Macaca mulatta: one gene and its partner. The protein of the gene in region 2 purifies or fractionates together with the protein of the main gene of each other region. This does not show direct contact. Links are inferred from orthologs where the notes say so. Each region holds a gene or a part of one and is shown on either strand. Other genes may lie near its edges.

Region 1 (4,013 bases), on a different chromosome or scaffold from region 2:
TTGCCCAGGCTGGAGTGCAATGGCGCGATCTCGGCTCACTGCAACCTTGGCCTCCCAGGTTCAAGCGATTCTCCTGCCTCAGCCTCCCGAGTAGCTGGGATTACAGGCATGCAACACCACGCCCAGTATTTTCAGTAGACAGGGTTTTCTCCATGTTGGTCAGGCTGGTCTCCCAACTCTCGACCTCGTGATCCGCCTGCCTCAGCTTCGGAAAGTGCTGGGATTACAGGAGTGAGCCACCGTGCCAGGCCAACAATACTACTTGTAAACTAGGAAGGGTATGGGGAGGGGCTGGGAGTGGGAGGGATTGTCTAAAATGGTACCCCCTCCCTTTCCAGATCTTATCTCCAAATAGTTATAAGATATATACCTAACACTAGAGTAAACATAAGAAGTTGGGCCAACGCTGAAGCTTCTCTAAATGGTATTATTTTCCAGAGTATATTCTCAAACTAAAGACAGCTCTGAAGACATTTCCTAGAAGAACAATGCAGGCTGCCTGCCACCAGGAGGAATGCCCTAGTCTCATATAGTCACTAATTATAAAAATAAATAGCTGTGTTCAACGTATCCAAGTAATACCAATTTATCCAACTTATTTATCATAGATGTTAAAATATGAGTGTGTACCATTTATTTTTAAATGGATTTAGGCTTATAAAATGGTATCACTTCTTTTCATCAGTAATCAAAGTTCTAAAGACAGTATTGTCATTTGATGGAAAAGAAAACCATCATATAAATTTAAAATTTAATAACATAGAGGTTATTTGGCATCACAAGCAAGCTTCCATCCAGACGAAGCCTAATTTGTGGGGAAGAGAAACAGATATCCCATTGCAAAATTACCAAGAAGTATTTCTGTTACCTAATAGTTCTTTGATACCCCAAACAAAGTATTTTATCAACAAAACCACTAAGTACAAATATTTATAGACAGGAACACCACCACTGCGAAATAGGAAGCCATCCTTCCAGACACTCTGCTCCTTGAATGCCAGCAACTCAGCTTCAGACACACTGCTACCTTTCTTCCAAACATACTCCACACCAACATTACCATGGAAAGCAGCAACACATGGAATTTACAGATTAAATGAGATTGTAGCAACATTGAAATTGGTTTGTCCAATTATTTTAAATGTATTTTAATTTTACGTAAGGGTTGCCCTGAAATTCTTTATGAAGCGGACTTCCCAGGGGGTGGGTAGGTATTTTTATAATAATGTTTGAAAAATAATTCAAGCAATCTCAAACACCATTTTAAATCGATAAACTAATTATAATCCATGTTTACGAATTAACAGACAACCGATGCCTACTAAGCAAAAGACGTCTGACTTCCTGTAGAGTAGATCTGTGAAAACAAGCTTCGTCTTTCAGAACTACGCGGCAGAGCTCAGCATTTACAGCGAAGTCCAAGGAGCTGTGACCCTTGCGACAGATTCTCGCGCTTCTCAGCGCTACCAGTTGCACGGCTCCAGTACTCCCCCAGGGGCGGGACTGTGATCTTTCCTGAAGCCAAAAAGTTCATCATCCTAGGTGAACCTGAAGCAAGCAGCAAGCCAGGCTCTCCCCAGCAACGACAGGAGAACAAAGTGGCTCCGTGAACTTTGCTGTCTTGACGGCTGGGACCCTGCACCCCGCCCCGCGCTTTTTTCTATCGTTGAACGATCAGAGTGGTCTCAGCCCCTGCCTCCCTTCCGTCCGGAGCCCCAGGGTCACTCCACGGAGCCCGCCCGCCCCGAGGACAGCACCTTCCAGGAAAGTTCCCGCGCCGAGGGTCCCGCTCGTGGACGCAGCCCCAGTCACTCACGTTTCCCCGGCCACGCGCGGCCCCTCCCTCGGGTCAGCAAAGATGCGGCCTGGGACTGTCTGCGGGCCGGTCTCGCGGGTCGCGGGAGGCGGCCCGAACTGCAGCCCCGGCCCCGAGCCCCCAGCCCTGGGGTCCCCGTTACTGCCATAACTCCGCGCCCAAAAGTGGCAGTGCTGAGTGGAGAGAGGGGCCTGGGCGACACCAGCCGGCCCTCCAGCCAATGGGGAGGAGGCCAGCAGGAGACTCGCCGCGCCCCCCGAGAGCCGCCGCATATGGGAATCGCCGATTTGGAGGGCGGAGGCCAGGAGGAGAACCAACCACACCGCAAGGCGGAAGAGCACAGCCCGCCCCAGCAGCGACAAGGCCCAATCCGAGGCTGGAGGCCGAGCGACCCGAAGACGTTCAAATCAACCACACTCCACCCCGCTCCTCCCCGAAAAAGAAAAAAGAAGACAGCGGAAACACAGACCCATGCCAGTTATTGCGCTACACCCGCCTTCATCCGCCTCAGCGACCAATCGTTCCGCAGGGGAATGATAAGGACATTCCACGAAGGACGTCACAGCCAACCACCGGAAGGCTGAGGCGGGACGTTCCACAATATGCTAATGAGATTCCTATAAAAGAAGCTGCGAAGCTACGTCTTGGATAGAGCGCGCAGGGGCGCCTTCCCGGTAGGGGTATCTGGTGCTTTCGGGCATGGCGATGGATTTTTTTTGCCCCCACCTAACTCTTCCGTTTCCCTACTGCGTAGCTTTGTAAACATTAGTAAACTCGGAGTGGTGATCCACATTCAAAACAGAGCCCCCAAAGCCTTGACTGACCTCGCAGAAAACTTTCCCCAACAGCCAACAATTCCCGGCGGACACGAACTCGCCACCTCTCTCTGACACCCTGGGCGGCCAGGTCTGTAGAGAACGACCCACAGGTCCTCTCATCTGCCACAATCCTCTCCAACCCAGCGATCTGCCCGCGCCCCCCCGAGCGCAGCGCTGCGCAGATGGGCGCCTTCCCCGCCTCCGCTCCTCCCCTTCCCTTCCCCACGGCACACAGAGAAAAACCCTCGTCCTCCGCAAACTACAACCGGCGGCGTCTCCCCTCGCAGTCGGCCCTTACTCGGTGTCCAGTGCCAAGTGAGGGCCGGAGGGGACTGGGCGGGGGCGACCGAGCTACCCCGAACGGAGTACTACCCGGTACTTTATGTAACACTCGGATTGGGGACTGGGTGGGGGGCGGCGAAGAAGGGCCAGGGGAGCGGCGTTGCTCCGGACCGAGGCACCGGGTCCGCGGGAACCCCGGCCCACAGCCGCCCTCCTCCTTCAGCCACATCTCGGCGTCCTACAGCCCCAGGCGCCGGCACATCCCTCCATCTCGCGCCGTAATCTGCACCCCCTCCTAGAGGACGCGGCTTGGACCCGCCGCCCCCTCCCCCGCAGCACCCGCCTCATCACTTCACTACAAAGAGCGCTTTGGTCGCGCAGCCTTGCAGCGAGACCTCTCGCGCCTCCTTCCTCCTCCGTGTCCCGGGCTTTGCACACAAGGACCTTGGCGAATCAAAGGCGCTCCAGACCTTTTGTTCCTGCCCCTGCCGAGGGCCGCCGCTGCGGAGCCGGCCGCTTCCTCCGCTCCACGGCAGGACCGGGCCGGCTCCGCGGCGCGCCCGGACCCGCCGGGATGGAGGCGGCCGCCCCCGCCCATCCATCACCCGGCCGTACCTTGGTATTTCGCGTCGATCTCCCGCATCAGCGAGACATTTCTCTGCAAGTCGAAAGGCAGGGACTCGATGGAGTCCAGGTAGTCCTCCACATAGTTCACCAGGTGGAGCTGCTCCCCGTTGGCAGGACTCAACATGGTTCACCCCGGAGGTCCCCGGCGACTCGGCGCGGCTTTCCGCTTCCTCCACCCCCCGCCCCCCTGAAAAAATAGCACTGCAAAATGCAAAGCCCTCGCTCTCCCGGCGCCCCCCGCCGGCTCCTGCTCCGGACCGGCGGCTACATCTGCCGAGCCCGTCCGCCGCCTCCGGGTCCGCGGGTACCCCAGCGCCTGGGGGCGCGGGCCGCGGTGGCGGTGGCTCCCGGGCGCACGCCCCGGCCGGCGGCGCAGGCCCCCTCTCAGGCGGCGGGGCTGGCGCTGGGGGCCGCGCGTACGAGCGCGCACACACCGGCGGGAGAGGGCCCAGCGCAGCGGCCGCCGCCGC
Region 2 (3,963 bases):
TAAATTATTAAACAGTTTAATCTTTTGGGGATTAATAATATAAACTGAGGTCAAAAAAGAGTAAGTTATGTGACAACAGAGCCGCAAAAATTGTCAATTTAAAATGTAACAATTCAAACTGTGTAAATGCATGACAACTGGCTATATTTAATTTTGCTTTCATTTTCAGATTTCTCAAATGTTTTAAACACTTAAAAGATTGTTCATATCTTTTTATAAAGGTTTCAGAATGCACTACTTAGGATTTATATTAAGCATAAAAAACTTCCATTTACCTCTGGGGTATCAATATCTTGAACAGGTGAATCACCTCCATCATCATCACTCCCTTTTCTCTTTCTTCTGTTTCGAACACTCTGAATTAAGTTTTTATGATAATCACATATGTAAAGATGCCTTGCCTGAAACAGAAAAGTTTCACACACTGCTAATGATTACAGTAAAATGTGTCTATGTATTAGTAAAACACATATGCCACAGATAGTAAAAATAAAGACAGTCAAGATGGCCATTGTTAACACAATGAAATATTTATACATTTAAATCCTAAACCCTGTTAAAACATAAGAAGTCTGGAATACTGTTAAAAGGATGGTGGATGGGGAAGGAGGGGTTGGTTCCATTTGGGGAAGGGGTGAAGGGAGGGAGGGAGAGGAGAATGAGAAATTCCAACCCTCTGGGTTTTGGCATCAAATTGCAGTGAGGGGCCGGGCGCGGTGGCTCACGCCTGTAATCCCAGCACCTCTTGAGCTCAGGAGTTCCACACAAGCCTGGCCAAAATGGTGAAATCCCGTCTCTACTAAAAATACAAAAAATTGGGCGGGCGTGGTGGCACTAGTCTGTAATCCTAGCTACTCAGGAGGCTACCGCAGGAGAATCACTTGAACCTGGTGGGTGGAGGTTGCAGTGAGCTGAGATCGCGCCACTGCACTCCAGCCTGGGCAACAGAGTGAGACTTTGTCTCACATAAATAAATAAATAAATAAATAGCAGTGAGGATGACATGAATTAGTTCATGTTGAATTTTTAACTGTTAAGGGGAAAGATGATGCTGCCCACTTTTGCTACTTGACAGTACTTTCTCTACTTAAAGAAGAGCATATTTTTGTAACATAATGTATGCTTTCCAGTCTTTCCAACTGAATGCCCAAATTATATTCCGGATACAAAACCATCCGTTTTTACAAATGAGCTATCGACTTCATAACTATATTTAAATTTCAGTTATCAACTTTTCTGAATATTAAATTAAATCAATGTATTTATTTATAACACATTTTCCCAAAGCAATCTGAAATTATGCAAGTTCACCTGAAAAGTTTCTCACGGATAACACTGAAAACTGTTTAAACGGGCAAAAAAGTATCACAAATAAACTTTTCAAAAACTTTAATTACACACACTCCTGCGAACTGTAGACTAACATTTGAAACAAATACGGACTGAGCTAACAGGCTTTTACATTTACTTCGAAGCCAAGCGCAAGATAAAAATACGCAGGACTTGTGGTAGGTTCTTGATACCATGTTATTCATTTACCGCTAGCCAGATCTCCCAAAAGTAGCAACGGCTGTTAGATGGTCAAACGAAAAGACGCGCAGGAGGAGGAAAAAAGAAATCCTGATGGCTGCCAAGGGGATGGCAAAACCGCAGAGGCTACGTGCTCCCCACCATCGGAGCAGCTGCCCTCGGAGCTGACAGCGCAAACGCCGTTTACAGCCCCGGCTCACTGCCAGGCGGCGGGCGAGCTCGGCTTCCCTCTCACTCCGCTCCGGAGGAGACGGAGCACAGAAAGGAACAGGATCTTCCTTGATCGCGAAGGTCCTCCACTTTCCCCTAGACCAGGGGAGTTAGCACCGCCTGGGGCCAAACACCAGCTTGGGCAGCGAAACAAAGGCGCCTCCATTCCAGAAGAGCTGCCGGGCTGCAAGAAAACTACTCTGGGCCCTCGGTCCGGCGGTCCCCTTTGTTTCGTGTCCTGGTCGCAGAGGAGAAGGAAGAGGGAAGACAGTGCGCGGGAGAGTCGCAGGCAGCGGGAGGCTGGGGGCAGGGTGGGAAAGAAAAGGGGAACGACAGCGTGCGTGTTGTGTGTGTGTTGGGGTGGCGGTCGGAGTTGCAGCGACTTTGTTATTTGCTTCCAAACACAGACTCCACGAGACCGCACTGCAGCCAGGTCTGGGAGACCCCGCCGACAATCCGTGCCTTTGCCCGACTCCTGGGGCCCCACCAGGGGACAGGAGGGCAGGGCGATCCCGCGGTTACTTACGCTCTTATCCAGCTCGATCTTCACCTTCTTCTGGGAGATGCTCTTCTGGATCCTCTTGCTGAAGCTGGCGTTGCCTGCCGCCCGGCCGCAGCGCTCACCATCCTCCCGCAGGCAGCACAGTTGCCCTGGGCCCGGCCCGGCCGCCCCCGGGGGCCCAGCCACTGAGACCGTCCCCGCGCCCGGCACCTCAGCCCCGGCGCCCGCGCCAGTCCCGTTCCCCGCGGAGGCGGCGGCGGCCGCGGCAGCGACTACGGCGGCCACTGCAGCGGCCGCATCTCCGCCGCGGCTCATCTCGTCAGGCGTGAAGCCGTTCATGTCTCCGAGCTCCCGAGCGCCGGCGCTGACACAAATCCCCTCTCTCCTGGCCGCTCCGCCTCTCTCCGCTCCGGCAGCGGCAATTCACTCTGTACACCAAGTTAGCGGCACGGTCAAACACCAACCGTCCCGGGCCTGCTGGTCTCTGCTGGCCCCGGAACAGTGGACAGTGCTGAGGGCCCGGACGCAGACTCTAGCGTCTTCTGGAGCCGGGACCCCGCTCACTGTCACATGGGGACTTCAGCAGTTGGACCGCTACGCCTCCGCCTCCCTCCGGCCCCCGGGACTGCGCAAGCGCGACGCGCCCCCTCCCGTCCCGCCCCTTTCTTTCAAACGCGCGGCCCCATGGGAATTGTAGTTGTCTGCTACGGAGTCAACCTGAGCTCCGCCCTGACCCTTCGCCCTGCGAGATGGAGGAACTACTAATCCTAGCATGCATAGCGCGGCCACGGACCCACTTTTTTTTTTTTTTTCAGTACCGGGAAAACAGGAGCGTGTGATTGGGGTTTACAGTGTTTTCTCTCTCTCTGTCTCTAGGGAAGTCGGGCTGTGTTTAGCTGCTGGGATTTCGTAGAATTGGGTTTCAGAGAAGTTACTCGATTCCTGAGGCGAAACATAAAGGGATGGGAGTGGTGTGGGAAGTGAGCGTGTGCGGAAAAAAAAGTTTCGAGGCCGTTTCGCATTTGTGGAAACACAGCTTTTGGTGTGACCGCGCTTTTGTGGGAAACCCAAACCAAGGAGAACTCAGGAGAATTGGCGCTCTTCGGTCCTGGAGGTTCCGCAGCTAACATCCCGGCTTGACCAACTATCGAGGCAGCAAATTAGTAGGGCACCTCCTGGGAGGAAAACGCCCATCCTGACTTTTCAACTGTGACAGGTCCCCCTCACAAACGCCTCGCGGGGGGCAGGGGGGCGTTTCTAAACCCTTGCATGTTCCTACAAGGGAAATGTGTTTATTCTTGGACGCACGGAGTTGGCCGCCTCCTGAGGTGGAGTACGGACCAGCTGACAACAGGGCTCCTTTTCACCTCCACGCCCAACCTTTTCCATTTCTCCTCAAACGGTTTTGGAGAAGGGCGGAGTCGTATCATTTTAAAGGAGACTTGGAACCTCACCAATACAAACGCTGCTCGACTGTTCCCAGAAACTTCCCTGCATTAGCTCTACCGGCGCGGGTAGTAGAAAGCGCATTTCCTGAGACCTGGCAGGCGCGTGCGCCCCTGCATGCTGCCCGCGTTTGTGCGCTCTTGCTTATATGTATGTGTTCGCGGGCGCGCGCGTGTGTACGTGTGTGTGCCCGCGTACGCGTGTATGTCCGTGCGTGCATGCGGGGGGAGGTGCTCGTGGAGGGCGGGGCGAGGGATGGGCGTGGCTAACACGAA

What was found.
Region 1: the proteins of SAP30 (region 2) and ING1 purify together in Homo sapiens (affinity purification with mass spectrometry; 6 studies listed by BioGRID and IntAct, with this or other methods). This does not show direct contact. The link is inferred for Macaca mulatta from reciprocal best matches to the Homo sapiens genes SAP30 and ING1.

What each region holds. Positions count from the first base shown.
Region 1 is NC_133422.1:105,125,821-105,129,833, reverse strand, and holds the start of ING1 (inhibitor of growth protein 1), read right to left. Parts: upstream 2,806-4,013; 5' UTR 2,290-2,805; coding exon of another isoform or gene 2,286-2,289; 5' UTR 1,965-2,285; coding exon 1,817-1,964; exon of another isoform or gene 1,758-1,816; intron 1-1,757. UniProt on the Homo sapiens protein: Cooperates with p53/TP53 in the negative regulatory pathway of cell growth by modulating p53-dependent transcriptional activation. Implicated as a tumor suppressor gene.
Region 2 is NC_133410.1:181,801,679-181,805,641, reverse strand, and holds the start of SAP30 (histone deacetylase complex subunit SAP30), read right to left. Parts: upstream 2,803-3,963; 5' UTR 2,582-2,802; coding exon 2,267-2,581; intron 402-2,266; coding exon 276-401; intron 1-275. UniProt on the Homo sapiens protein: Involved in the functional recruitment of the Sin3-histone deacetylase complex (HDAC) to a specific subset of N-CoR corepressor complexes. Capable of transcription repression by N-CoR.